Regions from separate parts of the Mus musculus genome. Here regions 2, 3, 4, 5, 6 and 7 are each reported to be linked to region 1. The links are microRNA targets in miRTarBase. Many come from high-throughput screens and were not tested one by one. Region 1 holds a microRNA gene; each other region holds the end of a gene's coding sequence.

Region 1 (4,000 bases):
ACACACACACACCAGTATAGGAACCTCAGGAACCCATCATCAACGAAGTAGCCTGTAAAGTGCCTCTCATGGCCACAAGGTGGCAGGCATGAGTACACTTTCCCTGTGTGGCAGCCCTAATCCTAGCCAGAGAAGGAAGTCAAAATGCTGGAGCAGGGGGCAGAACTGAAAGGCAGCATCCCCACTAGAATAGCTGACGCCAGCGCCATCTGGGGAGGCGGCATCCCAAGGCCCTCCCGGCAGCCCTGCCTGCGCTCACCACACGTTGCTGCTCTTGGTCTGGTCCACCACCAGCAGGTTGCCGTGAACCTCGTCCACCAGCTCTGGCGCGATCCAGCGCAGCGGCACCCACAGCTGGTCAGCGGTCACGAGATAGTCTTCCTGTAGCACGCAGGGACAGGATGGGAGTGAGCTCCGCTCAGCAGCTGCCCCTGCACACGGGCCCTGACGGCCTTACTCACCCTGTATTTGCAATGCGACAGGCCATAATCACCAACCTTCACTGTCAGGTCAGCCGTAAGCAGGCAGTTCCTCAGGGCCAGGTCACTGCGGAGTGGAAGGCAATGTCAGCAGAGTGTGCCAGCCTGAGTGAGCCCTGGTGGAATGGTTGGGCTCCCGGGCACAGCCAGGCAGACCGACAGGAAGGGGTGTCTGAGGGGCCACCCACTTGTGCCCAAGTTCTGGCTCCACACCCTGTACTGGCTATTTTGGAAGACCTGTGTGGACTTCAATGCATTTCTAATACTTCTTCTTCTTCTTTTTTTTCTTTTTTTTCCAGACAGGGTTTCTCTGTGTAGCCCTGGCTGTCCTGGAACTCATTTTGTAGACCAGGCTGGCCTCGAACTCAGAAATCCTCCTGACTCTGCCTCCCAAGTGCTGGGATTAAAGGCTTGCGCCACCAAGCCCGGTTTTCAATGCACTTCAATGCATGTGAAAATCAGGCAAAAGATGCTCAAGGACGACCCCCCCCCCCCAGCAAAGTGCTGTCTAACTGCACCAGAGCCCTAACCCGCTCCACCCTCTGTCTGATCTGCCCAACAAGGGCCAACAAGCCATGGAGCAGAGAGTCTGCAGTGTCCTCTCAGGACCCTCACCCTTCCGACTACACTCCACCATCCCAGTCCCCAGGAGGTAAGAACTGATGGAGAAACCGAAGCCCGGAGTGTCTCAGAGGGTCCTGCCAGCAGTCAGAGCCCATGTTCTAGAGTGCAGCCCTGCCTGGCCTGCTACACAAGCTGGAGCCGAGGTCTAGAACAGTATGGACCACAAAGGCCCCTTTGTGTGGAGGATAAAAATCACCAACTCAGTGGGAAGCCTGGAATGCCAGGCTCTGTATAACTCTTGCTTGGCTATAGCGCCCCACCCCCAGGTGTTTGGGGTACAGGACAATAGAGTGCCACGGGACGCACCCTCATCTGCCATACTGGCTGTTCTGCTGAGAGATCTCTGGATGTAGATGGGGCCACCTTGGCCTGCCTCTACCCCAGGAGGACTGTGTCAGGGGACAGGGTGGGGTGACCTGGGTCCATGCCTATGGGTGGGGCAGCTGGGCTAGGCAGCAGGCAGGGCAGGAGGCTGGCAGCTGCCCTCTTCAACAAAATCACTGATGCTGGAGTCACTGTGCACCCACTCAGCACCAGGATATTGTTGGGGAGGACGGCCTGTGCAGCGTTGGAGCTGGTGGGCCGCTTGTCCGTTGCCACTTCTTCCAGCATGTGCCCCCAGCTCATGGGAGGCTGGGCATCCTGGCCACCAGAGGCAGGAGAGAGCCACCCCTCCCACTACAGGGCCAGCCCAGCCACTCCCTTTGTGGCCTGAGGGAAAGAGGCTGGGGTTGGTATGGAGCCCAAGTATGGCTGACTGCTCTAGTAGACAGGATGGGTTTCTTCATTTAACTGTCTGCAAGGTGAGTTTCAAATGCCAAGTCTTCACAATTTATTTCATTTTGAGATGGTCCTGCTACATAGTCCTGGCTATTCTGGAGTTCATTAGGTAGACCTAGCAGGACTTGAACTCACAGAGATTCTCCTACCTCTGCCTCCCAAGCGCTGCAATTAAAGGCGTGAGCCACCATGCCCAGTTAGTTTTCCCAGTTCTAAGAATGATAAAGTTCCCTGCAGAGTGGCTATTTTTAGATGAACCCAGTTCATGAGGCCCACAACGTGGGATCACCGTGACTTTTCTGCACAGGGTCGTGTGATGGTGAGGGTTAAGGCCCTGGGGGAGTGGGGCTTTGTAGCTGTAGCCTGGCTAGTCTCGCTAGCCCTCACCTGTGTACATAGTTGTGTCGATGTAGATGCAAGACGCCACACGCCACCTCGCACGCCATGCGCTGCAAGGTAAGTGGGTCAGGCGCCATGGACTCTGTCACCCGGCAGCTCCGTAGATAACCTTTGAGGTCCCCCTGATGGACGAGAGAGCACACAGTCACCTGCTAGCTGCAGCGACCAGCCCATCACAAGTCTGCCACCCACACCAAGAGAACCTGGGTCTGGTGGCCTGTGGATCAGCTGTGAACCCTAGTGTTCACTGCTGTTTCAGCAAAGCCTGTGTCTCAATTCTGGCACAGTGACCTCCATATAAGCAGCCACCAGAGCTGTGCATGTAAAGGGCCCAAGGGGCAACACGAAGACCCAGAACTCAGGCTCTGCCCCAGGAGCTTCGGGAGCCCTGTGGCTGTCCCAGGACACCTCTCGCTGAACTATCCAAGACCCCACAGTGTTGCCCCTGCTGCTGCTGGCTCACTTTCTCTCCGCAGACCTCCTCTGAGGGAGAGCAAGGACTACCAGGACTCTACTTTAGAAATAACAAAAGACCCCAAGAGGCTGAGCAAGAGAGGAGCCACTCCCCTTTGGAACAATGAGCTACAGAACAGGACCGGGAGAGACAGAGCTACCTCCCCGAGAGGACCACTTACCAGTGGACAGAACTCCATAACCAGCAGGTAGGGGGTCACTTCAGCACACTGGGCCAGGCACTGGAGCAGGTTGCTGTGCTGCAGGGCCCTGGAAGAGTCCACGGGTGTTTAAGTTGGAGGGCAGGAGAGGGTGTCCCATAGCCCTCAGTTTCTCCCACTGTGCTGCTCCCCTGCCCGGCCCCACCCCGCCCCCGCCACACCACCCACCTGTAGGGCTGCGCCTCCTCCAGGAACTGCATCTGCTCCTGCACGCTGGCGCTCACCTTCAGCTCCTTCACCACCACCTGCGTGCCACTGACGCCCGAGTGTACCTCCCCCAAAAACACCTGCCAAATGTGACAGGCATCACCAGGTCCCCTTTCAGTCTCCATAGGAAAAGCCATCTAGCGCCCAGGGCCTCAGATGGTCATACAACTTCTCACCAAGCTCTGGCTAGAACCCTCAGCCCCAGTCCACCCACAAGGCTCCTACTTTTCTCACTGCCTGGGGACTACAATGAGGAAAAAGGAATCAGGTACATGGTCCAGTCTGGGGCGGGTGTTAGAAAGAGCCCCTCCCTAGGGGATCCCCAGGAGTAGTGGGTCCACCCTTTGCCATTCCTGCCACCCCGGGGCATGCTTACCTTCCCAAACCAGCCGTGGCCAATCTCCTTTAAGTACAGGAGGCTGTGCCGGCCCAGGTCCGTGGACTTGAGAAGTTGCACTAGAGTGGAACAGAAATCCAGACACAGCTTAGCCACCGCTCCCTCTCCATCTTCCCGACCACGCTCTCCAGAGCCCAGAGAGCTTTCCCAAGCTCCCCAGCCAAAGAAGCTTCAATAAAGTGGAGGCCAGGTTTGAGCGCTGTCATCGAGGGCCAGTGTCTCTTAGGCTCTGGGGTGGCTGCTGTCAGCAGAGCTATGGACCTCAAGTCTCCATCCAGGCAAAGCCTGGGGATGCCCAGAGCAGAGCCACAGGGAGAAGCCAAGCCCAAACAGCAGGGCCTGGAAAGGCGTTTGGATGAGGCAGGAAGCTGGTGCCGAGGCCTGGGAGGACAGCAGAGCAACCAACCCCCTACCCCTGCCACAGGCTGGCATTCAAACCC
Region 2 (4,093 bases), not on the chromosome of region 1:
CATAGTTCTGACCCAAACCAAAGCCACTTAAAAACCAACTCATGGATGCATCCCCCAAGCCCTCTGCCCTCCGTCCCCATCGATGCTCATAACACCAACGACTGTGGATCCCAGCCGCCTGCGTGCCCTCCCCTCCCCCAACCCTCCTCCAAGTCCCCAGAAGGGCTCAGCCCACTCCTGACCAAAGTGTTTCCCTTGCAGATCCGCGTCGTGAAGGCGTTCCGTAGCTCTCTCTATGAAGGGTTAGAAAAACCCGAGTCTCGAACCTCCATCCATAACTTCATGGCTCATCCTGAATTCCGGATCGAAGATTCCCAGCCCCACATCCCCCTCATCGATGACACCGACCTGGAAGAAGATGCCGCGCTCAAGCAGAACTCGAGCCCGCCGTCCTCGCTCAACAAGAACAATAGCGCCATCGACAGCGGGATCAACCTGACGACCGACACGAGCAAATCAGCTACCTCTTCAAGTCCAGGGAGCCCCATCCACAGCCTGGAGACGTCGCTTTAGCTGAGGCCCCTGTCGCCTGGCCACGCTCATGGACCCGCCGCCACCCGCCTCCAGGCGCACACCCTTCCAGGCACCAACTCCCCGACACAGCAAGGAGCACTGGGCGGAACCCACACAGCAGAGAGGGAACCAGACCTTTCTCTGGCAGCCATGCTGTTTGAACTCTTTTTCACTCCTTAGGCCTTGGGCGGGGTTGCCCTGGGGTCATCTGGAGCAGAGAGTGGCGTGGATTTTTTTTTCTCCAAAACATAAAAAATAATAATAACGAATTAATTAAAAAAAAAAAGAGCCTTTCCAGGCTCCAGCCCAGACACGGACCAGCCATGCACCCGCCGGCCACCGTGGCCCCAGCATGAATGTACCTGGACACTATTAATCCCCTCCCTCATTTGGTTCTTGGAGGGCTAGGGAGGGGAGTTTTTTGTTTGTTTCCTTAGGCGGGAACTGCAAACAGGAACTGGAACAGAGACTACTGTTCGTTCAGTCCACTGGTCTATGAGGTTTCAAATGCTTGCCCAGCATGGTCTCAAATGTCTAGATTAATTTAATAACTTTTTGAAATCACAGAGTAGGTTTGCACCAATGAAACCCAAGAACTCCACAGACACTCACGAGGTTATATCCGTTTCTTTGTATCTATATCAACGTATACTTCTTGAAGACTGTATACGTGCGTATAGATAAGTAGATATTATATATATATATATATACATATATATACATGGATATATAAAGTTCCTTTGCCGGCATGTTGCCTTGTTTCTGCTTAAATTGCTCTATTTTAACTTATGTCCTAAAAGAAGAATGTAATTTGTTTACAAACCTGTAGATAATGTCTTTGGCTATTTGTGTGGTTTAAGGACACTGGTGGCCAAGATGCTTACAAACAGCTCGGGCCCAACAGACACATCCCCTGGATTGCATCCTTGAAGTTTTACGATAGCCATGCTCTGATTTTTGCCTGCTATTTCCGTTCAATAATGTCACTACTGTGGGAAGCTCAGGCAGAAAGCCAACGGCTCCCAAGGATCCACCCTGAGGAGCTAAGCAACGCGCTCGCTCACTCCACCGTAGACAAGGGAGAAGAGGAGAGAAGGCTTCCTGGGTTTGCAACACGGCCGTCCAGGTCTGGTGACGTCAACGTCTGTAGTGCACCCGGAGAAGGAAGACTTTTCTCTCAATGAAACTCGCTTGAGTTTACAGAGAGCATTTCAGAACTGAGTTGTCTTTGGCACTGTCTGTGAGTCAAGGTAGTGTTCAGATATTACAAATGCTATTGTGTTGAATTTTTTTTTTTTTTTAGTTAGTAATTTAGAAGTTTCTTTTCTTATAAACGGCAGCATAGACACTGCTGACATACTGGATGAGGGTTGGTACGGCTTGCTGCTTTTGTTTTTTTTTTTTTTCTTTTTGAAGAAGAATAGCCTTTTTTCTCTGCACTATTTAGATCCGAATGAACCTTATAATGTGTACATTGAGATGTATTCAGTGTGATTTTTAAACCAAATTGTCTTCCTGTAGTTACAATATATACTGTAGCCTTTTAACAGCAAGTCCTGCTTTCCCAGACAGAAAGCCATTCTGATATCTTCCCATATCACAGGTGAGAAAAGGTGGCTATCCCCTCTCCCAACAATAACAGCACTAGTTATCCCACTTAATAAGAGCTTGTCTGTCGGCCTCTTACTGCTAAGCACTTTGTGGGTCTCAGCTTTTTTTCATAAAAGAACTTTTGTATTTAATACAAAGTTTGCTTTGAGACTTTTCAGCATACAATCTTTTTCCATAAACTTGTACAGTGCAAAAGACATTTTGAATACCATGACCGATGATGTCCCGTGCTTCGAGGAAATCAAACACTTTCCGCCTCACTTGTGAACTCCATCCTTCACTCTCTCCCTCCTCACAATCGCTCCTCCTCGCTCTTCAGCCTGGCCCCCCAGCCCTCCTCCAGGCCCAGAGACCTCTTCACTAAACAAGATGACAGCCACTTGGGAAAAGAGCCATAGTCAGCTGGGAGGGCCCACGTCTGGATGGCTGTGAAAAACTTGAGTTCTTGGTTTGGGCTTCAAAGTCTGCCCATCCCACCTGGCCATAATCTTTCTATAAGGAAGAATATCTCTGAAGGATTCTGATTGTATCCAGGAGAGAGAGAGAGCTACCTCTCCAGCAGGTGGACCAGCCCTAGATGTACTCACTGGATTCCAGTACAGACACCACCAGAGCCAGTCCATAGTACCCCTCCAAGGGAGGGAAGGAAACCCGGGGCTGCCTTGGAACAGGATAGGTTTTTGGTTTGGTTTTGTTGTTGTTGTTGTTGTTGTTGCTGCTGCTGCTGTTGTTGTTTGATTGGTTTGGGACTTTTGGTGGGGAGTCCTTTGTCACATTTTTCATCCTGCCCTCCTTCATTCAACCATGCATCTATGACCTCATTCCATGCCACCAGGGTTCTTGCTCTTAACAAACCGGGGTCCTCGGGCTTTGGAACCAGGCCTCCAGGGCAAAGAGGAAGGGGTTCTCTGAGCAGAGCCAGGTTCTCAGACAGGAGCAGAGGAAACTAGCAAGGAGGCCTGACATTAGTGCTGGCTTCCCGGTGTCAGGAATGAGAGATAGCCTATGCCCCAGCCCCTCACTCTCACACTCTTCCATACACACACACACCTACACAGGAGATGGTTGGTTTGTCAGAACTCACTGTAATACACAAGCTTGCACTTCTGCGTCCTATATCTAGCAGCATGGGATACGTTTGGCAGTTCACCCCATTAGGGGGTCAATAATTTATGACCATTCATCTGTTTTTATGAATTTTTTTATCTAGACAATAATTGTAAATAAAGAATTCACCGTCTCTGCTCATTTAATACTATGCAATGGTTATGTTTTCCATGGCTGGCTCTTCTGGCTCACATAGGTGTTTCTGATGTGTCTATGGTATTTAAAAAAAAATCAAGCAGAAATAGGAAATCTCTACTCTTTTCTAGCGTGGCCCCCACCCCCTTCTTTCCTGTCCTCTGCATTCTGTAAGTGCATCAATCCCCTAGCCTGTCAGATAACTGAGAAAACACAGGTGAGCATCCAGCAGGGGACCTGAACTTTGGCTCTGGCTACTTCAGAGTCACCCATCTGTGGAGGGATAGGGAGAGGCTCAACTTGCTGCTCCCAGCTATCCAGGATTGAGGAGCAGCCTCCATGTCTCCACCCACCCATGCTCTCCTATCCTCAACCCAACCACAGCAGAGCTGACTGGAGGGAGGTGCCCTATTTCTGAGAGTGGATGTGGCACTGGCTGCTCCCAAGCCAGAGCCCATCCTATCCTGGGTCCTCTGGTTAATAAAGAACCACTGTGTCCCCATGCCTGTTGAAAAGCCACCTTTGCCTTCTCCTAATTTTTTACACAGACTTCAGTCCAACTCTAGAATTTCTCTTTCACTCCCTTATCTGGCACCAACCACATGTTCTAATTACTGTCCCTCTCAAACATGTTAGTGTACGGCAGGGGAGTAAGTCCCCCTCCCTGTTCACAAGATTTCCCCACCCCACCCCCATCTGTTCTTCTGAAGAAATACTAAGTTTTGCC
Region 3 (4,093 bases), not on the chromosome of region 1:
TCTGCCTGTCAGGAGAATGTTTGTAATACTTGTAAGGCTTGGAGGCTCATTAGTCATGGTAGCTAGTTTAATGTTCTCTAGTATTTATAGAAAACCACATTTAGTAACACTTTATACCCATATACTAGATTTTGGGAAAAAGCCTGTCACAGATCATGATTTTTAAAATGGATTTATTTTGGTCAATCATGACTAATTTATTATAGAATATGTTAAGTCCTGGATAACTGCTGCCTTTCTAGTCTGCCATTTTATGCTGTTACAAGGAAGCTTTCTTATGTCCAAGTTGATTGCAACTCCATTATGTTCTATGCTTTGGTGTTCTTGGAATCCAGTCACGATAGAGCTCAGTTAGAGTGACTTTGAATAGCTAGCCACAATAGGTTTGGAGCAGAAACCACTGCCCAGCAGTGCCTCCTGTCCCTTATGTATGGGCTTTTATGGTTGTCGCCTTTATAAGCAGCCCCTGGGATGGAACCCAACATAGGCACATGTACCATAGGGGTCGGGTAAAGTTTTAAGTTCCTAAAATCTCCCTGGGAATTGACACCATATTTGGATGAAAGCGACATGTATATGAAAGTAAGTGACATTCTGATTTGCAAGTTAAGACGTGAATGCTAGGCAAGGCAAGGCCCCACCGCAGGTGAACCTCAACCAATGGGAACAGGTTGAGAGTACAACAAAGACATTTTCCTAAGGAAGTCCCCTATGCCTAAATCCTGATTGGTGGAATAATTTGGCACAGGCGTTTGTGGATTTCAGGTTTAAAAGCTCCACAGGATACTGGCCTCAGGGTTGTAGTAAAGTCCTGAGTCTGGTCTGCAGCCCTGACTGATCAGTTCCCAGGCACGTGCTCAGTAAACTCTCCCTGTCTGATTAAGATCAGTGTTTGTGTGGTTTGTGGAGTGACTCCTGGACATCAATGATAGACCCTTTCCCCCCCCCCCCCCCCCCCCCCGTTTTTTAGACAGGGTCTCTGTTCATAGCCTTGGCTGTCCTGGAACTCACTATGTAGACTAGACTGGACTTAAACTCAGAGATCTGCCCACCTCTGCTTTTGACTATTGTGATTAAAACCATGTGCTTCCTCCATGCCTGGCCTGATACACTATTTTTTAAAATTATACATGTATGTATTTTATGTGTATTAGTGTTTTGCTTGTATGTATGTCTGTGCACTGCCAGTGTATCTGGTGCCCACAGAGGACAGAATATGGCATCAGACCCCCTGGGACTGGAGTCAGGGATGATTGTGGATCCTCGGAATTGAACTCAGGTCCCTGTAATAAGTGCTCTTAACTGCTGAACTGTCTCCAGTCTCTAGGGTTTGTGGATGGCCAAGCATGGTGGTGTGGTCCCGTAATCCCAGCACTCAGGTGTAGGAAGGACAGTGATCAATCCAGAGGTTGGTCTAGAGTACACAGTAAAATGTAGGCCGGCTTAGGCCAGCAAACCTGTCTTGAAACAAATTCAGAGGGCATAAACAATAACCCTCTTTCTCTAAAAGACTTTCATTTGCTTTCCACTGTGAGGCTCCTAACCCCGGGCCAGAGTCTGGGCTTTCTCTGTCCCACACAGACAGCATGAAGCACGGTGGTTTTCAGGTGGTTGAGGTCACAATTCTAAATTTATGGAAGGCACTGGTCCCTTTCTCCTGCTTACCTAGCTTCACTCTGAGACTCCTTCCATAACACTGTCCACTTCTCTGCAACACTCTGTAGCAATGGCTGCAGACAAGACAAGCTGCAAACCCTGGGCTTGGTGACAGGAATTCCTCTGACCCCGAGTCCTACCTGACAAGTCCTCCCTTTATTAGCTGTTTAGTATGTGGAAAGCAAGACTGCTTCACTGAGGAGGTTTGGTTAAATGATCTGATCCACTGTTGGGAGCAGATCCAAGGACTCCGGCTTGCTTCGCCTAATCTAGCAGGCCTCCCATGGGCTCCAACACACTGTAGGCAATATGGCTATAAAACTACACTTGGGGAAGAAACTGACAATATGCAAGTTCTTCACTGTCTTCTCCTACCTCCGCTGAAAGGAAGCTTCTGACTTCTGCCTTTATCAATCTAAAACGGCTACACTGTTTCTGGGTCAGTACTATATACCTAGCACACAATACAATCTTTTATACAAAGAAAATTTTATTGATGAAAAGAACACACAAAAAAATTTGTGTCTGAAGTTTACATATGTGGAAAAGTTAGTATTTACATTTCCCATACAGTACATGATAATTTTCATTTTAAACTTTAACAGAGCTCCAATGGGATCAAAGTATCTAAGAAAACCTCGCTGGCGAGATAATCCTTAAGGAGGACCAGCACTGAGACGCTGTCTTAGCACCTTCAGTGTCTTCACGCTGCATCTGCTGCACTACACTCTTCCTGCCCAACTCTGACTCTGCCCTTCGCACATTTTCTTTTGCAGGCTTAGATGCAGATAGGAATTTTGCATAGCATCAAAGAAATTTACAACACAATGTGTTTGTACTATTCCAAAAACATTTTTTTAAGTTTAAATTTTTAAAACAGATAAAAGCTGAGTGTGGTGGCTTGGGAGAGATGAGTGGGCTGCAGAGGGGGAGATCTCTGTGACCTGCCTGGGACAGACTGAACACCAGACAGCCAAGGAGCACCACACAGTGAGTTCCTGTCTCGGGAAATAAAATACTAAAATAAAGACAGGCACGAGCAACTACAAATGGCCATAATTCAATCCTAATTCAACACTTAAAAGGGGAATCGACAGCTCGGCCTAACTTGTAAAAACCTACCATCTTACCTGCTGATTTATAACATGCAGAAAGAAAGGGACAGTCCAATCAGGGAGGGACCTGCCACCAAGTTCCTCCTTTTGGGGAAGGTAGGGGTGGCTGTGACCACTTCTTACAGACCTTTCAGTGTGACACCCACTCTTTTTACTGTAAAGAGGCTGCTGTACAAGTTTTTTAAAAATCCAGTGTAACAGCTATCACAGTCGCAAAGTAGCTAAAATAGTAGAAAAACATCATAAAAATATTTGATTCAATTCTCTAGGATTTTCAAAAGTTCAAATACACATAAGCATATTTTCAAATTCATATCTACATATAAAGGTACAAAAGTTTTAAATACTTCAGCAAAGAAAAATCTTGGATTTATATAAAGAGTGAAAGAGCATATCTTAAAATACTTTAATGAATCTTCAATAGAAGGAAGACTCCTCTAATGCCCTTCCCATCCCCACATTTAAAAAGTGTTATTAACTGGGCACTCCTGGTTGGTTTTTTAGGTATAAATGCATTATATTATTTTTGAAATCTGGGCTGTTGTTTCTTTCAAGTTTAAAAACAGACAAAAGGCTGGGCAGTGGTGACCACACCATTATTCCCAGCACTCGGGAGGCTGAGGCAGGCAGATCTCTGTAAGTTTGAGGCCAGCCTGGTCTACAGAGGGAGTTTCAGGACAGTCAGGGCTAGCAAAGAAACCCTGTCTCAAACAAACAAACAAAAAAACAAACAAACAACAACAAAAATAACAGCAACAAAAATAAAAGCCAAACCAAAAAAACAATAGACAAAGCTGGTTTAAGTGCAAGGAAGACTGTAACAGTGAATTTTCCTTTTGCAGTGCTGGGAGACAACCCCAGGTCCTCAAGTATTCCAGGTGGGCGCTGTACCACTGGGCTACTCTCCCAGCTCAACAGTGGCCTTTATAAGACAAATCAGTTGGTCATCTCCAGTGTAACATACATGTGCTTCTGGGGGAACGAGACAGTTTTCTTCAAGCGTCGGAATGGCTGCCAGCACCCTGCTCTTTCCTAGCTCTGGAAGCTGAGTGAACAGGCAGAGATGTGGAGCCCTTGAGGCTGGTTGGTTCTGGAGAACTGGCGGCCTGTGAAGTGCTGCAGTCTATCAGGCCAGTCTCAGGAACGCTGCTCTTTGGACTTACCCTGGAAAACACGAGTGTTTATGTGCACAGCAGAAACACAGACAGGATGTTAGTTATCCTCCTAACCCTGTGCATTCATCCCAAAGAGCTCTAGCAGGGGATAACCCACGCAGCTCCTGGGTAGCCCTTCAAACCACAACCCTGCTGACTTCACACACT
Region 4 (4,093 bases), not on the chromosome of region 1:
GGAGAATTAGAGCAAGGTCATATTCTAAAAGAACTTTCCCCAAACCCTCCAGATAAGGAACTGCTGCCTTCACTTTTATCCCAATTAACTGGCCCAGTACTGGAACTGCCTGAAGCCACCCGGGCACCCCTAGAGGAGCTTATGATGGAAGGAGATCTACTTGAAGTTACCCTAGATGAGAACTACAGCATTTGGCAGCTGCTGCAGGCTGGGCAGAATCCCAATCTAGAGCGCATTCATACACTTCTGGAGGTGAGATGTGTCATGGATAGTCCTTGGTTTCACTACAAATGTGGACCACATACACCTTACTTACTTACTTACTTACTTACTTACTTACTTACTTACTTACTTACTTACTTACTTACTTACTTACTTACTTATTTATTTGTTTATTTATTTATTTATTTATTTATTTTGTCTGTGTATTGTAGCTTGAGAAGCCTGAAAACCCAGGAAATTGGTCAGAGGAACAGACACCAGAGAGGCGACGGCAGAGGAGGCAAAAGGTGGTTCTGAGTAGAAAGGGTGAGGATTTTACTCAAAAAGAGCTAGAATCAAAAAGAGTCAAGAGTTCAAGGATTAAGCCTAAGGAAGAAAAGTTTCAAAAGCCAATACTTGGGGATAATGTGCTGTACACACACCATACAGAACATACAAACATCTTAAAAGAGCACATAAACAGTGTACAAGGAAAGGATCCAAGCCCTTCATCTTCTTTTCCTTCCTTAACACCTTTACTACACCTATCTTATTTTCATCAGCAAAAATTATAACAATAGTATGTGATTATAACAATAGTATGTGATTGTTCTTTTTTCCTACCTTAGTCTTTTCCATTCTCCCTCCCTTGTTCTTTCTTTCCTTCTTCTTTTTCATTTCTTTCTGTTGGTCCCTTCCTTTCCTCCATTTTACTCTATTCCTACAGCTTCCTCTGCCCTTAATCCCTCAGATACCCCCAAAGTATTTGTTTCTTATCTAGAGCTTGACCACAAATTATTTTATCCTTACTCCTAATACATTTTTATGCCATAATTCCTAAGAAGTATTCCCTGTATGCGTTTCCCAAAATTTTACCATCAATATTCCTGGGACTAGCATAGATAAAGTGATGTTCTTAGTTATCTCTATTCTAATCTGGAGAGACAAAAATAAAATTTGAGAATGATAACATTTATTAATCTTTATTTTTAAATCCTTCATCAATCACACATCAAAACAAGTACTTATTAAAACAAGTGTCTTTTAGTTTATAATTTTCATTCTATTTTTCTCTTTGGTTTACATTCTAAAAGAACGTTGTATTTTTAATTCTTAAGAAAAAGGAATATATACAGTAATGCAAACTTACCATAATTGTTTATTTTTAATTTTGTTCCTTTTGATTTTGTTGTTAAAAATAAAACAGTATGGTTAGAACTGCATCTGACTTATACATCTATGGGAATAGAAAAATCAAGGATGGAAATCGTTGCTGTGGGACTCAACAGCATTTGTTTCTGAACTTAAAATACTTGTCTGTATCTGTGTTCTTGGTTCTATTTGTTTCTTTGTTTTGTTTTGGTTTTTGTTTTTTCAAGACAGGATTTCTCTGTGTAGCCCTACCTGTCCTGGAACTCACTTTGTAGACCAGGCTGGCCTCAAACTCAGAAATCTGCCTGCGTCTGCCTCCCAAGTGCTGAGATTAAAGGTGTCTGCCACCACTGCCCAACTCTATGCTTCTTGATACATGTTGTCTAGGTAATGTCTTCATAGCTATACTTTCCTACTAAGTGTCAAATAAGATGAATCCTTTCTTCTCTTTTAGAACGTTGTTTTATTGAACTTATAATGACTTCCTTTTTCTTTTTTTTTAATATTTTTTATTATGTATTTTCCTCAATTACATTTCCAATGCAATCCCGAAAGTCCCCCATACCCTCCCTCCCACTCCCCTATCCAACCATTACCACTTTTTGGCCCTGGCATTCCCATGTACTGGGGCATATAAAGTTTTTGTGTCCAATGGGCCTCTCTTTCCAGTGATGGCCGACTAGGCCATCTTTTGATACATATGCAGCTAGAGTCAAGAGCTCTGAGGTACTTGTACTGGCTAGTTTTGTGTCAACTTGACACAGCTGGAGTTATCACAGAGAAAGGAGCTTCAATTGAGGAAATGCCTCCATGAGATCCAACTATAAAGCATTTTCTCAATTAATGACCAAGGGGGAAAGGCCCCTTGTGGGTGGGACCATCTCTGGGTTGGTAGTCTTGGGTTCTATAAGAGAGCAGGCTGAGCAAGCCAGGTGAGGCAAGCCAATAAAGAACATTCCTCCATGACCTCTGGATCAGCTCCTGCTCCCTGACCTGTTTGAGTTCCAGTCCTGACTTCCTTTGGTGATGAACAGAGGCATGGAAGTGTAAGCTGAATAAACCCTTTCCTCCCCAACTTGCTTCTTGATCATGATGTTTGTGCAGGAATAGAAACCCTGACTAAGACAAATTGATACCAGCAGAGTGGGTTATTCCTGTGACAACCTGACCATGTTTTGGGGAGGACTGTGAAAAGACTTTGTAACTTTGGGCTAAAAGATCCATCCGTTATTAAGAGCTCTGTCGGATGTTGTGTAGGAGCTTGGAAGATAATGTTGAGAACACTGCAGAAGATGGAGGTCTGGTTTGTGAAATTTCAGAGGGAAAATTAAAGACTTTTCAGGGCCATTGCTGTTTTGATTGTGAAGATTCTGTAGTTCTGATTAGCTGGGGCTGAAGAATCAGCTGTGATTAACAAGAGACCAGAACTACCAAAGCAAAAACTTTGCATTACTGGGACTATTGATGCTGGTTAGCTAGAGCTAAGAAATTAGCAGTGATAAAGAAGAGACAAGCATCATTGAGGTGACATCTTCTGGGAAGTGTTTTCTGAAAGCACAAAGAGGCTGTGTTCTGGAGATAGTCAAGGTTGTACTCCTGCTGCAGCGGGACTTAGTAATATGTAAGGGTCACCCAGGTGGTACTGGTTTTGAAGGCATGAAGGGGTCATGCAAAGCAGCTGAGGCTCGGCACTGTAATAGGCCATGGAAGGCCATTGGTGAAGGTGCAGCCTCATTTGCAATTGAAGACCCAGGACTGAAGGGGTCATGCAGTGTTTTGGAGATGCCAGTACCATGAGATGACCACCAAGAGTAGCAGCAGCAGTGGAGTACAGGCATCTGGAGCCTAGAGGATGACATGTGTGCTACAAAGGGTATGGCTGGAGAACTGACCCCAAGCCCTTGGAGGATCCCAGAAGATTGTGAGTTGGATCCCAGACATTGGACGGTTAGAGATTGACTTTTACTTTTGATTGTGACTGTGCCCTGATATATTCCCTCTTGAAGGAAGAAACTGTTTTAGTGGAGCCCACAATTAAGAGACTTTTAATTGTAAAAAGACTTTGGATTTTAAAAGAGATGGATATATTAAAGAGATTGAAATTTTAAGATTATGTAAAGACTGTGGGACTTTTAAAGTTATTTAGATCTTGGAGATGAATAAGTTGTAAGGGTTGAGGCTAACTAATGATGTTTTTGTGTGTCAAGTTGACAAGGGGTCAATTGTACTGGCTAATTTTGTGTCAACTTGACACAGCTGGAGTTATCACAGAGAAAGGAGCTTCAGTTGAGGAAATGCCTCCATGAGATAAGGCAACTGTAAGGCATTTTCTCAATTAGTGACCAAGGGGGAAAGGCCCCTTGTGGGTGGGACCATCCATCTCTGGGCTGGTAGTCTTGAGTTCTATAAAAAGCAGGCTGATCAACCCAGGTGAGGCAAGCCAATAAAGAACATCCCTCCATGGCCTCTGCATCAGCTCCTGCTCCCTGACCTGTTTGAGTTCCAGTCCTAACTTCCTTTGGTGATGAACAGCAGCATGGAAGTGTAAGCCGAATAAACCCTTTGCTCCCCAAATTGCTTCTTGGTCATGATGTTTGTGCAGGTTTAGAAATCCTGACTAAGACAGTACTGGTAAGTTCATAATGTTGTTGCACCTACAGGGTTGCAGATCTCTTTAGCTCCTTTGATACTTTCTCGAGCTCCTCCATTGGGGGCCCTGTGATCCATACAATAGCTGACT
Region 5 (4,093 bases), not on the chromosome of region 1:
ATTAAATGACACTGTAAGCCAACTAATACCAGACAGACCATTTTTTCTGGACAAGCTATGAAATCGTACAGTAACACCCATTATAGAGGGGAATCAGGATGCTGTAGGATGTAAGGATCTTCTTGCTAAAATGTGGATGCTATGCTGGAAAAAGGGAAGTAAAAACCCACCCCAGTCCAGACAAGTACCACTTCTGCTCCTCACCAACTTAAGAACTGAAATGTGTCTCCCTCTGAGAGCAGTAACTCACTTGACTCTTCTGAGAACACCTCGCTGGCATTTCCACTATAAGGAGACCACTTATTAACAGAGATGTGTGCTCTCGGGGGAAGCATGTTAATTTACTTAATACATTTTTTAAAAGTAAAGATAAAACTCGTGTGTGTGTGTGTGTATGCTCTGCACATGTATGAAGGTTGGATGAAGCGTGAGGAAGCTGGCTTTCTCTTCCCACCATTTAGGTCCCACAGATTGGCAGGCTTGGCAGCAAGCACCTTTACCAAGTGAGCCATCTCAAGCGCTCTTACTCGCTTTTACAATAATATGCATGCTAGTCTAAAAAAGGCCTAATGTTTCTGAAGAGAAATTAAAGGCTATTATAAGTTTCTTAGGCAAAAAATTTTGAAAGAACCATAGATGGTGTAATTAAAAGCGAATCTCAGAGCAATAATTCTAATCAGTATGTTCTCCACTACCATTCGATGGAACAACAGCTCTTAGGACACATGGAGTACAGCTATTTCTTTCTGTCTCTCTTCTTCTAAGACAGAGTTTCATCTAGGCAGAAGGCTGGCTGTGAAATTTGCTATGTAGCTGAGGGAAACTATGCACCTCTAACCCTCCCGTCTTCACATCCCCAGCACTAAGGCCGCAGGTATGTGCCACCGTGCCCAGTTTATGTGGTGGTGAGGATGCAATCAAGGGCTCATTGAATCTTAGGCGAGAGCTCTACCAACTGAACCATTCTAAGCCCTCAGCTATTTCATTAAAATAAAACAACAGTCTTTGGGAGCTGGAGAGATGGCTTAGCAGTCAAGAGACTGACTGCTCTTCCAGAGGTCCTGCGTTCCATTCCCAGCAACCACCTGATGGCTCACAACCATCTGTAATGAGATCCAATGCCCTCTTCTGGTGTGTTTGAAGACAACTACAGTATACTCAGATAAATAAAGTAAATTAAAAATTAAAAGAAAAAACACAATAGTCTTTGTTAAATAACTTTGATGTCAACTATTTTTCATTGATTAAGTGATTAGTTTGAATTTCTCATAGATTAGGGAAAAATTTTTCACTTGAAATATGAGTTATCTATTTGATAAGTAGTATTATTCTTTATTACTTAAGAAAAGAGAGGAGTATTCTTTCTGGAGATAGCTAGCTCAATACTAAGAGGACATTTTCAAATCAAGGAAATCGAAGGACTCCAAAAGACTGTCATTTTGTCTTGAGACAGTCTCTCTATGTAGCTCTGGCTGTCCTTGAACTCGGAAAGATAAACCAGCCTCTGCCTCCCAAGCGCTGGGATTAAAGCCATGCACGACCACACACAGCCTAATAGATCACCTTAATACTGAAGTCCTGCTAATGGTCAAGTTCCCATCCTTAAGTGCAAATTATGACATCCGTTAGTGATTCCTTTGGCAAAAAAGTTCCAGCCGAGTATTAAAAAAGTTTTCTTAATTCTTGTTTTAGATAACAAAACCAAAATAAACTTTAAAATTATATACTCACTTTGCTAATACTTTTGTTGTTGTTGTTGTTGTTGTTTTGGCCATCAAGAGCTTTAAATTATAGAAGACAAAATGAAAGCTACGGCCACTTGGGTGACCATAGACAAGTCATGGGCAGAAGTGAAGTGGAAGGTGGTCAGTCAAGAGCTACTTCTGTGAAATCAGGGATCTACTGTGTTCTATTCTGTCCACTTGGTATCAGAGGGAAACTCAGAGCATGCTCCAGACAAGAAGAAAAAGGAAGAGAGAAAAAAATAAAACAAATAACTTCAATGACTAGGTCACTGATTTAAAAGAAACTTATAAGCCAGTGAGCACTGCCATATAAATTAGTCAGACATTTTATTATAGAGTATATATATATTTATATCAAAAGCACAAAAAGACTTTTATTCTGGGAACTAGGAAGAGTGTGACATTACAGAAGTATGATTCAACAATTCCAGTCCATTTCCACAGGGTTAGGTGCCCCATCGGCTGAAAAGGACAGCTGAGGCGGAGGCCACAGCTCTGAGCCCCCATGGCCCCTTAGCATGATTTCTTAACTCAAACTGAGACCTGCATTTCCAAACCCTGGGTACCCACTTTCCAAATATTTGCTACAAATTGAAGTGGGTACTGAGCCAAAAATCACACTCAAAAATAACCAAAGCTAGCGCTCCTGTATGCTGGAAGATTAATCCTCAAATAATAAGGATATCATAATTGGCACTGTCATCTAATTCTAAATAAAAGAATCATCAAACATCCTGGTGGATCTGCAATGAATTACACAGGAAGCAGTAAAACTCAGAGGCATCCTCTAGTAACTGAGCTAGAAGCGAGTAGCAGATAGTGAGACCCGTCACCGCCTTTGAAGGGGCTGTTAGCAATCCTTAGGCATGGCTGGCAGCTCAGCTCCCACTTCTCAAGGCTTCACCACATGGAACACAGTGGCTGTGATTTAACAAGGACCTTACTCTTCCTGTTTGTTCTTACAGGCCGTTACTATTCTTTTAAAACTTACTCCCTGAGAGGTCCCGGACTATGTCAAGTAGATTAGAGTAAGCTTGCATTTTATCTTCTTGGAAAAACAGAAAACTATCATTTTCTACACTCACTGCCTGCTTAATATTTAAACAGTCATCAGGACAAAGTCAACTTCTGAACAGTTTTGAGACTACTTTAGGGATAAATGTAATGTTTTTAATATCAAATTTATACTAGCCAAGGAGTTAACTGGTGGTGCCGAAAATACAAACGTAAATGTCTTAAAATAGCAATTTGTGCCACCCAGCTTACTAATTAGTAAAGTAGGTCACCACTGCGGATTTATTGCTTTTAATGTGATGAATACCAGATTTGACAGCTGAACTTTGCAGTGGGACACAGCATACTTTTATCTTGAATTCCTTCCTCGAAGTAGGACATGTATATCCATGTAAGAAAAAGACCGTGTAGCAGACATCTCCTCAGTCAACCAGTCTTGTAAACATTGTGTTGTGCAGATTTTCATACTTTGATTCCAAAAATAAGAATAGTTAAAGGCAAATTTAGTAACTGAGGGGTGGGGGAGAGTCTGTCCAGTTTGACTTCCTGCCACATATGGTTACCACTCCTCCCTTCAGAAACAAAACAACAACAACAAAAACCCTAGCAGCACATAAAAAAAGTTGCAAAACATTTCAGTACTCTTTCCCTCCCATAAAACCAAACAAAAATAAAGTGCAGCACCCATAAAAGTGTCAAGAAAATAGCCAGGCTCTTCCTTTCTCGTAACAAACTAGTCCTTGGGCTCAGCAGTCTAGCTGAGTCACACAGTGTCCATCATTCGGTCATCATCTTCTTTGTGTACCACTGAGTCTACACTGCACAGAGGGGCAGGGGTACAACACTGAAGAGAATCTGGATTCTGGGGGAGAGAGAAAGAAAGACAGACGGGGAACAACACTTGAAAAGCAGCTTCACACCACACATGCAACTGTGCACACGGCTTCACCTTCTATTCCTCTGCAGCAGAGCATACTAGGAAAGAAAGTGGAATTGTGGAGTCCACACAGACCGAAACCTGAAGAACTAAAGATAGAATGTTATTCTTTATCCAGACCGAGTGCATATACAGGAACAGAAATGTTACAGATACCCCTCTTATCTCTTTTAACAAAACTATAATTTTAATTCTTTAACCATACAAGGTTAAACTTCCTCATAAGCATTACATTTAATAAGCATGCCTTTAGGAGGCTGGAGAGATGACACAGCAGTACGGAAGACCATGTTTAGTTCCCAGCATAGACATAGCAGCTCACAACCATCTGAAAGTCAAGTCCCAGGGGATCTGAGAGCTGCATGTGGCCTCCGTGGGCACTGTATGCACATGACAC
Region 6 (4,093 bases), not on the chromosome of region 1:
CTTGTTTTTATAGGCTCTGCAACTGTCTCCCTTCTCGCCCTTCCCATCAGACACAAGGCTGATTGTGTAACGCTGTTAACTCGTCTATGAAACAATGAATTGACTCAAAAAGTAGAGAGGAGGAGAAACTACAGGCCTGGAAAGTCAGGAGTCTGAACTGCCCCGCAGTGAGTTCACCATCTTGGGCAGGACACCTGTTAAGAACTACCAAATAAATACTGTGAAGTTTGTATTTTGGACAAAAAAGTCACATCTTTTAATCTCTCCCACTAAGTAAGACTTTTATGCAAGCATTTTAATAGCTTTTCCACCCCGTTAAATATTTGTTTACGCAAAGACCCTGCTGTTTTCTGGGAATGCAAAGGCCCTGAGCTATGAGGGGGCCTTTTCTCTCTTGGAGCAATGAGCCCTTCCCGCTTGCTCCTACAGTTCCTGTACACTAATTCTTTTCAGACAAGCCAACGGAATAGGCCCGCGAGGATCTCAGGTAATGGGAAAAGAGTCACCCCTTGAGTGAGAACAAAAACCAAAGGTACTTCCTGACTGGGTGTGTTCACTCTTCGGAGTAGTGGAGTTTTGATCTGTAGTAAGGTTTGCCTTGCCCGGTCACTTGAGATGGAATTGGGGTATCTTCCTCTGCAACCCAGAACTTATCTCTGGCACACTTAAAGCCCCCTTTCTCAAGACACAGGAAATGCTCCCAGGTTGTGATGGCTGACGCAGCAGAGAGGGCCCCTGGCTGGGCCGGCTTTGTGAGAGCTCTGTTAATGTGTGAGCAGAAAAGGAGAGGGAGGGCAAAGACTTTGGATGTTTCCAGTGTTCAGATGAATATTCATTTTAAAGCCATGCACAGTTGCCCCACCCCCAGGTAAAGAGTGGAAGGAAGACCCTCTGGGGTTTCTACTTAAAATTTCTCCTTTATTTTGACATTCGCTTGGTTTGTGTTCCAAGTTATCAAAGATACAACAAGACAAGAAATCTGCAGCAGGAGGAGCGGAGTGATGTGGAGAAGGATGGTGGAGAGGGCTGGCTATTCCCCGGGCCTCCCTTCTCTGCCTGTTTAGGGTTCAGTTTGAAGAGTGGACAAATTGTATCTCATGGTACAGACTCAGCAGCTAATGGGACAGAAGAGCCGAGTTGGGTGAGCCTCCTCTTCCCCAAGGATGGAAGATGCTCATGATGCTACAGTGAAGAGTGAGGGGGTCAGGTGACCTGTAGCCAAGGGTGGAACCTGTGCCTTGAACAATGTGGGCTGAAGGGCAGTGTGTATTCCCCGTCCCCTCTGACACCTGGGATCCAGATTTTGAATTGTGGCCCTGCTGGAGACACAAAGGCAAAGAGTGCTTTATACCCAGAGCCCATAGTAGAAAAGTGGCTTACAGATGGCTGGGTTCTCTTGGTTTACCCAAAGGCATGGGTACGATGGCATTGTTATCTAGGGTGAAGCTGTGGGACCACAGGAGAGCAAGGCACTGGGCTGGTAGAGAGGAAGTGGGGAAAGCTGCCAGGCCCAGCAGCAAATCAAAGGGTTGCACATGGCCCAGGATGAGCAGATGGGCGGGACTGGGTGCACAACAACTGCAGAGCCATCCCTCTGCACCGGGGAGAGGGGGAGGTTAGCTCTCCTGCTGAGGCTCCCAGAGGCAGTACTTGCCTTTTGAGGTTGCTCAGTAGGGGGTTGAACAAATGTTTTTGTTGTTTTTGAGAGGGGTGTGTGTCTCAGGAACCCCAGGTTGACCTTGAACTTCTACGTAGCCAGGGATGACCTTGAACAACTACCTTCCTCCCTCTACCTCCCCAGTATAGAGGTGTACCCACCAAGTTGGCTTTTATGCAGTGCTGGAGACTTGAGGTTTTGTGCAGACCTGGCAAGAGCTCTATCAACTGAACTACTGCCTTAGCCCCGACAGCAATTCAAATGATTTTGTCTTCTAATTGTCCGTGCTTCCTCCCAGCACCCCTTTTGTGGTTTCTAACCCACAACAAATGTCCCTGTACCCAGGATCAGTCAGCAGGAGAGTCCACCCAGCCCTGGCCTGGATGAAGGCAAGAGACGAGGCTGAGGAGCAGGTCTAAGACGTCTCAGATTTGTGGAACACTAAGGGACAAGCTCTTCGTTCCTGGAGAAAAATGGATGTCTGAGTGAAGACACCTGACTGGTCCCAGGAGCTAAGGAGTGGACAGAACATGAGCAGAGAGTGTCTCCTGCTTCTTAACCCTGTGTTCATTATTTACAGTTGGACATGTAAGATGCACCCTGCTTTTTGTCAGACCAACCAACCAACAGCCAACAAGATTTCAGGAGAAAAACCAGCCCACCCTCCATAGCATTCCGAGACTCTGGAATGTGCAGGCATTAATTTTTAGAAGTGGGGACAGCGATCCTTGAATCACGGAGGTAACTGGAGAACTAAAAATACAAAAAAAAAAAAACAACAAAAAAAAAACCAAAAAACAAAAAACCAAAAACAACAACAACAAAACCCAAAACTAAACTAAACTAAGCAAAACAAAACAAAAAACAAAACCCCATAAGGCCACTGCTAGATGGAAAGTGGGAGGTGTTGGGATCTGAAACAGCAAATTAGCTCATTACCAAGAGGCAAGCATAATATCTAATTACAAAGACACAGCCAACCTTCAGGAGATCCCCCCAAAACTCAGATGAGAAGGCCACAGCCCCTCGTGGGATAAAATGTCCTGTTAATAATGTCACATCATAGATGGACACTCATGGGATGCACCAGCCTCTCGAGGAGCTTATGCAGGTGTGTGGGAACTTAACTGTGGCACCATTGCCTCAGTTCCCTCCTTCTGGTTGCCATGGAGACTGGCCACTTGAATTGCCTCTGGGTCCAGTTGCTAAAGGGTCAGATTTTTCTTACTTGTTGGTCCCTTGGACCTTTCTGCTCTGCAGCTCCCGAAGGAGGCAAAGCCACATGGCTGTTGGTGGTGATGGATATGAGAGGAAGCCAGCCCCCACCCCAGGAATGGGCATCCGCACACCCTCAGAGGGCCGAGTCTATGTGGCAAGGCATGGAGGGATGGGGCGAATCAATGTGATCTATCTGTTCCCTGGGCTTCTAGAACTATAATGACTGACACCTGGAAAAGTTTCTCTAGCAGGGGGGCATAAGAAAGGACTTGAAGGGGAGACAAGGTTATATAGCCTCTTCTTGCTACAGTCCCCATAAGCAGTCGTGTGTTGTGGCGCTTAGCATCAGTTTGATGTGTTTCATGAGGAGGGACTAGATTAGCAGATGTGGTGCTTCCAGAACTCAATATTCCTATCAGAGCAGGCAACCCAAGTAAATAACAGAGTGTAAACTAGCTCATGTGTGCATTCTAGCAAGCAAACCCCGAGGGGCCCCGTTAACGCCCTTTCCTCTCTCCTCTCAAGCTCTGGGATGTCTAAGCCTCACCCTTTGTGTCCGTTTCTTTTAGGTCTGCCCACCTCATCTCCCAAGGTCTCTGGAAGCCTCCCTAACCTTTGCTTAGCTTTCCCTGGTCTTTACACAACCCATCAAAGCAAAGGGCTTGGGGCTTATTGGAAGGTGTCATATAGCGCTTGATTGTCAGAGAGAAAATCCCCAGAGAGAAACTGGTGACATTGCAGACCTATCAGGTCCCTACCTCTGGGCCACAGGGCTGGCGACAGGTCCTGCCCTGGTCCTCAAGCATTTACTTGTACACATCTTACTGTACCTCTGATCTGGAAGCCAGAGAAACTGAAATGGTTTCTGGGGGAGAGGGCGATTGGAGAGTCCCCTCCAACACTCCATTGCTCCTGCTGGGACCGCAGTGTTGGGTGTGTGCAGATTGGGGTGAAAGGATTATACATCGGTACTAATAGCCCTTGGATTAGTGAAGGCCTCATGCCCAGAACTTGGCCAGGTCACCGGGTAATTCTGTGGTGCTGCCAACTTGAGGGATGGGGTTCCCCCCTCTTTGTAGTGTGTAGGGGCGAAGGAGAGCCTCTCGCCTCCACCCCCGTTGGGCACCATGTCAGCTGTCCGTATGTAAAAGGGGGTGCGGTAAGGGGAGCAAGTGGTACAGTGGCTGGCCACCCCACACGGCTGGCTGCAGGACTCGC
Region 7 (4,000 bases), not on the chromosome of region 1:
TTGCATGGTATTTTAGGCCAATTCATGCGGGTAACAGAAACCAACTTGGATATTCTACAAAAACATTACATGCTCTTAACCAGTGAGCCATGTGGGATGTTAAGAAGAAAACTCTTTCATTTAATTTTAATGTTTAAAAAAAAAAGTAAGTTTTAAATGATTGTAGAGTTAGGACGCATTTTAGCTGTATGATGTAAGACAAGAATGTAAAATCTCAATTTAAAACCCTTCTATTCTTTCTATTCCTGAATAACCAGTATTCCACAGATTGTATTTTCTTTTTAAACCAAATCTAATGGCACTTAAGATTAGAGAAAACAGCTAAGAAAAGCATGAATGGAGAGGCTGGAGAAATAGCTTAGTAGCTAAATTTACTGGCTGCTCTCCTAGAGGACTCGGGTTTGATTTCCGGTACCCACATGGTAGGTCACAACTGTCCTTAAATCCAGTCCCAGGGAGTCTGACACCCTCTTCTGACTTCTGTGGGCACTGCATGCACATGGTGTGTAGGCATAGATGCAGGCACTCGTACACACAAAGAAAAGAAAATAAGCCTTGAGAAATATGAATGAAAAATAAATGAATAACAGCACAATGAAGAAAGCCAGGCAGGGGAGTGGGCATGGTGACTCAAACTTGTAATAGTAGCATGTGGGTGACTGAGGCAGGAGGATTGCCATGAGTTCTACATTGGTCTGGGCTTCAGAGTGAGACATTTGTCAGGAGCCATCTAGGAGAGGTTAAAGGCTAGCAGGTGATCTTCTAGAAATGGTTTACTGTGGAGCTGAGATGATGAGCCCTTGGAGGCAAGGCCAGAGGGACAAGTCTCAGGATTCGATTCCTGCTATCAATACACCTTTCCTGTCATTATTAAGTTAATCTAACAATCTCTGCACACTAGCCTACCTATTGGGCAGGTTTTCTGTAGATTATCAAATAGTACTTGTCTTGTAGTGTTGCTATACAGAAAGATAGATGATTTTTTCCCTTCTATCAATGATTCTATAAGAATTCCAAAGATTATACTAGTAATTATTAAGCCCTTACAATAAGGACTGCAATTAGAGTCCTCTGTAATATGATAGCTGCAACTGGGACTCTGAAATTCTGGGACTCTCTTCTCATATCATGAGCTAATTGCACAAGATGGAAAACAGGCATACAGATTTACTATTTAGGAATACATTCCCTTAGGCAAAATAATAATAATAATAATAATGAACTAAAGGTTGTAAAATAACAAATGATTTATTGTAGGTGCAAGGACAGAAGATAAAATATTGACTGGGTTTATCTATATAAAACTTCAGTGTTAACTTAGACATAAGAATTATATAGTTTTAGACTCTCTATGAACCTGTAGAACAAGTGACAGATAATGAGTGTCTAACTAGATAACTAGTCTTAATGGGACACATGTACACATCTCTGTTGTAAACTTCTTCTTCAATTTATGACTTAAATTAATTTTTAAATTTGTGGTGAACTCTTGATTACTGGAATGCCATGAAATCATGTATCCTGGGAAATATTCAAAACTAGGAATGATGACGCTAAGTACACAGAACACAGAATACAAAAAGAGAATTAGAAACCAAGGCAGATGGTAGAGGGCAGAAGAAGAATGGAGAGAAAGAGAGTAGAAGCAAACTAGAAACTTTACAGGGATGAGGAGCTGAGCAGACAAGAAGAGACAAAACAGAGAGCAGAATTAAGTAGACGTAGGGAGAAAATAGAAGAGAAGCAGAGTGGAAGCGATATGGGAGCAGCAGAATACAACAGGGGCTGAGGAGGAAAAAGCTGAGACTAAGAAGAGAAGGAGCTGCAGGGAGAGCAGAAATCAGCAGGCAGGCGGTTCTTACAATGAGACATTTAATTTAACTTATTTAGCAATAAAAGAGTAGAAGTGTTTTTTCCCTTTCTCTGAGCAATAAAGGTTGGAGCTTATTTTTCATCCAGAATGAGTGAGTTCTTTTTGCACTAGCTCAATAAAACCTGCTCCTGCTCATGGAGGCCTTTGCCCCCCCACCCCCGTTTCTCTCTCTCTCTCTCTCTCTCTCTCTCTCTCTCTCTCTCTCTCTCTCTGTGTGTGTGTGTGTGTGTGTGTGTGTGTAACTATTTGCGTGTGTAAGTATGTAAGTTGATGAGACAGAGACAGATTGCTAGACCCAACAAATAAGTATGAGATAATGAATGTGCAGGTATGAACGTGTGTATAAATGTATGTGTGTTTGTGCATATTTGCTTGGGTAAAAGATTTTCCTATTGTTAGTGTGACTCTCTTCTCCTGATTCAATAAAAGTGTTATTACTCCAAGTCTCCCTCTTTCCTGGCCAGTGAAAGGTGAGGTTCCTGAGCAAGAGAGAAAGGAGCCCTAGCAATAAAGCACTCACATAAAGCTACATATGACAGTCTATAACTCTCATCAAAATATTGGAGGTCAGAAAAGGGTGACCCCAGAAACTCACTGTCCAGCCAGTCTTGCCTAAACAGCAAGCTCCAGGCTCAGGGAGAGCTTGTGCTTTAGTTAGGGTTCAATTGCTGTGTAGATATACTGTGACAACAGCAACTCTTATAAAGGAAAACGTTTAATTGGAGATGGCTTACAGGTTCAGAGGTTTAGTCCTTTATCTTCATAGCGGGAAGCACAGCAACATGCAGATAGACATGGTGCTAGATAGATAGGTAGCTGAGAGTTCAATTTCTGGATTGGCAGACATCAGGAAATAAAGTGACACTGGGCCTGGCTTGAGCATTTAAAACCCCAAAGCCCAGCCCCAGTGGCACACTTTCTCCAACTAGGCCACACCTATTCAACAAGGCCACACCTCCTAATTGTGCCCTATGGGGGCCATTTTTATTCAAACCACCATACCCTGTGTCAGAATAATAATAATGATGACGATAGTGATGATGAAGAGTGATAATGATGAGAAAAAAGAGGAAGGCACTGAACTTTGACCTCTAGCCTTCATACATGTACTTACTCATGGGCAAGGGCCTTGGCACACACATGTGTATATTCATCCATATAAGAGATGTGGAAAGAGAGAAGGAGAAAGAGGTGAGGCAGGAGGAGAAGGTAGGGGATCATTATACTGAGTACAAAAACCAAAAATAGAGGGAACAACTTGTGGGGATATAAATGAAGGAGCACAGACTCTGTCCCGGGTCTCTTATTGCAAAGTCAGATGATGTCAACTGAGTGTAAGACTCACACACAGCAGCATAACCCACTCTGGGATCAGAGGGATGCAGGAATTATCCACAGGAAGCCATAGAGGACACAGGTTCTTCACAGGAGAGCAAAGCTTGGTGCATTTAGATCTCTGAGTACTCCTGAGGCTTCCCTCCCATGAAATCCAAGGAAATCTTAGTGTGGACACTGCTCTGTTCCTGAGGTGAGTCCTTCTGTAAGGGTCTTGGATTCTCAGGATTGCTGTGCACCTTGGAGTCCTGCTGATGAGCCTGTGTGGAGAGGACAGAAAAGGGTCCCACGGCAGGGCACAAGGAGTAGGTTCAGGGAGATAGAGAGGGTCTGTGCAGAGCAGTCGTTATAATAAGGCCCTTGATCCACAAATGGTCCTGAAGTATCACTGGTCATTCACTGGTAAGGGTGAGGTCCCTCCTAAGGTCACCCATCTCGTGCTCTCTACTCCACCCCAGATGTGCCTGAGTCACACCATGCACACTGAGCACTGGGTCCACAGGAAGGCAGCGCCGTAGCAATGAGGCTCTGGCTCAGATGGTAAAGAGATGAAGGCAGATTGGGAAAACAAAACGTGACTGCTAGCATAGCTGCCATGTAGGTGAACCAGCGAGAGACTAAAGAACAGCAGTTTCCCCAAGGCCCACTTTCTACTGTGGGTCTCCATGTGGTGGAGGTGCCATGGCAGTACTGTTAACACAGGCATGAGGTGCCTGTCACAGACCTGTGTATGGAACATCCTGGAGTCACAGCATCAGATGCAGTTGGAGATAGGCAGTGATTATAGGATGT

What was found. Region 1 holds the annotated microRNA mmu-miR-3065-5p (UCAACAAAAUCACUGAUGCUGG, at 1,592-1,613, shown strand). A microRNA usually pairs through its seed, bases 2 to 8, with sites in the 3' UTR of a target mRNA and lowers its output. Matches are read on the target gene's strand: a 7mer-m8 pairs with bases 2 to 8, a 7mer-A1 pairs with bases 2 to 7 and ends in A, and an 8mer does both.
Region 2: miRTarBase lists Atp2b2 as a target of mmu-miR-3065-5p. Seed matches in the 3' UTR shown: 7mer-m8 at 2,815-2,821.
Region 3: miRTarBase lists Fzd6 as a target of mmu-miR-3065-5p. Seed matches in the 3' UTR shown: 7mer-m8 at 3,525-3,531 and 7mer-m8 at 3,510-3,516.
Region 4: miRTarBase lists Kdm5d as a target of mmu-miR-3065-5p. Seed matches in the 3' UTR shown: 7mer-m8 at 1,387-1,393.
Region 5: the mRNA of Cdc37l1 is a reported target of mmu-miR-3065-5p. Seed matches in the 3' UTR shown: 7mer-m8 at 3,352-3,358 and 7mer-A1 at 2,164-2,170.
Region 6: the mRNA of Fam163a is a reported target of mmu-miR-3065-5p. Seed matches in the 3' UTR shown: 7mer-m8 at 2,476-2,482, 7mer-m8 at 2,434-2,440 and 7mer-m8 at 1,981-1,987.
Region 7: the mRNA of Cd33 is a reported target of mmu-miR-3065-5p. Seed matches in the 3' UTR shown: 7mer-A1 at 2,814-2,820 and 7mer-m8 at 2,170-2,176.

Annotation. Positions count from the first base shown.
Region 1 is chr11:120,013,189-120,017,188 of GRCm38, forward strand. Mir3065 (microRNA 3065) reads left to right here and starts at 1,579; the gene lies at 1,579-1,665. Aatk (apoptosis-associated tyrosine kinase) reads right to left here. Exons shown (of 14, transcript NM_001198785.1): 4 at 3,540-3,619; 5 at 3,125-3,243; 6 at 2,918-3,005; 7 at 2,271-2,404; 8 at 462-546; 9 at 260-381. Mir338 (microRNA 338) reads right to left here and starts at 1,674; the gene lies at 1,577-1,674.
Region 2 is chr6:113,744,957-113,749,049 of GRCm38, reverse strand. Atp2b2 (ATPase, Ca++ transporting, plasma membrane 2) reads left to right here. Exons shown (of 20, transcript NM_001036684.3): 20 at 202-4,093. The coding sequence ends at 513. Among named protein-coding and RNA genes, the nearest start is that of Sec13, 6.3 kb to the right of the region's middle.
Region 3 is chr15:39,036,228-39,040,320 of GRCm38, reverse strand. Fzd6 (frizzled class receptor 6) reads right to left here. Exons shown (of 7, transcript NM_001162494.1): 7 at 2,129-3,935. The coding sequence ends at 3,767. Among named protein-coding and RNA genes, the nearest start is that of Gm7194, 3.9 kb to the left of the region's middle.
Region 4 is chrY:942,390-946,482 of GRCm38, forward strand. Kdm5d (lysine (K)-specific demethylase 5D) reads left to right here. Exons shown (of 26, transcript NM_011419.3): 25 at 53-252; 26 at 435-1,422. The coding sequence ends at 776. Among named protein-coding and RNA genes, the nearest start is that of Kdm5d, 47 kb to the left of the region's middle.
Region 5 is chr19:29,015,534-29,019,626 of GRCm38, reverse strand. Cdc37l1 (cell division cycle 37-like 1) reads right to left here. Exons shown (of 7, transcript NM_025950.4): 7 at 1-3,621. The coding sequence ends at 3,523. It also overlaps a transcript of Ak3 not described here. Among named protein-coding and RNA genes, the nearest start is that of Cdc37l1, 27 kb to the right of the region's middle.
Region 6 is chr1:156,075,064-156,079,156 of GRCm38, forward strand. Fam163a (family with sequence similarity 163, member A) reads right to left here. Exons shown (of 5, transcript NM_177838.3): 5 at 893-4,093. The coding sequence ends at 3,834. Among named protein-coding and RNA genes, the nearest start is that of Tor1aip1, 41 kb to the left of the region's middle.
Region 7 is chr7:43,525,541-43,529,540 of GRCm38, forward strand. Cd33 (CD33 antigen) reads right to left here. Exons shown (of 6, transcript NM_021293.3): 6 at 1,916-3,468. The coding sequence ends at 3,322. Among named protein-coding and RNA genes, the nearest start is that of Cd33, 5.6 kb to the right of the region's middle.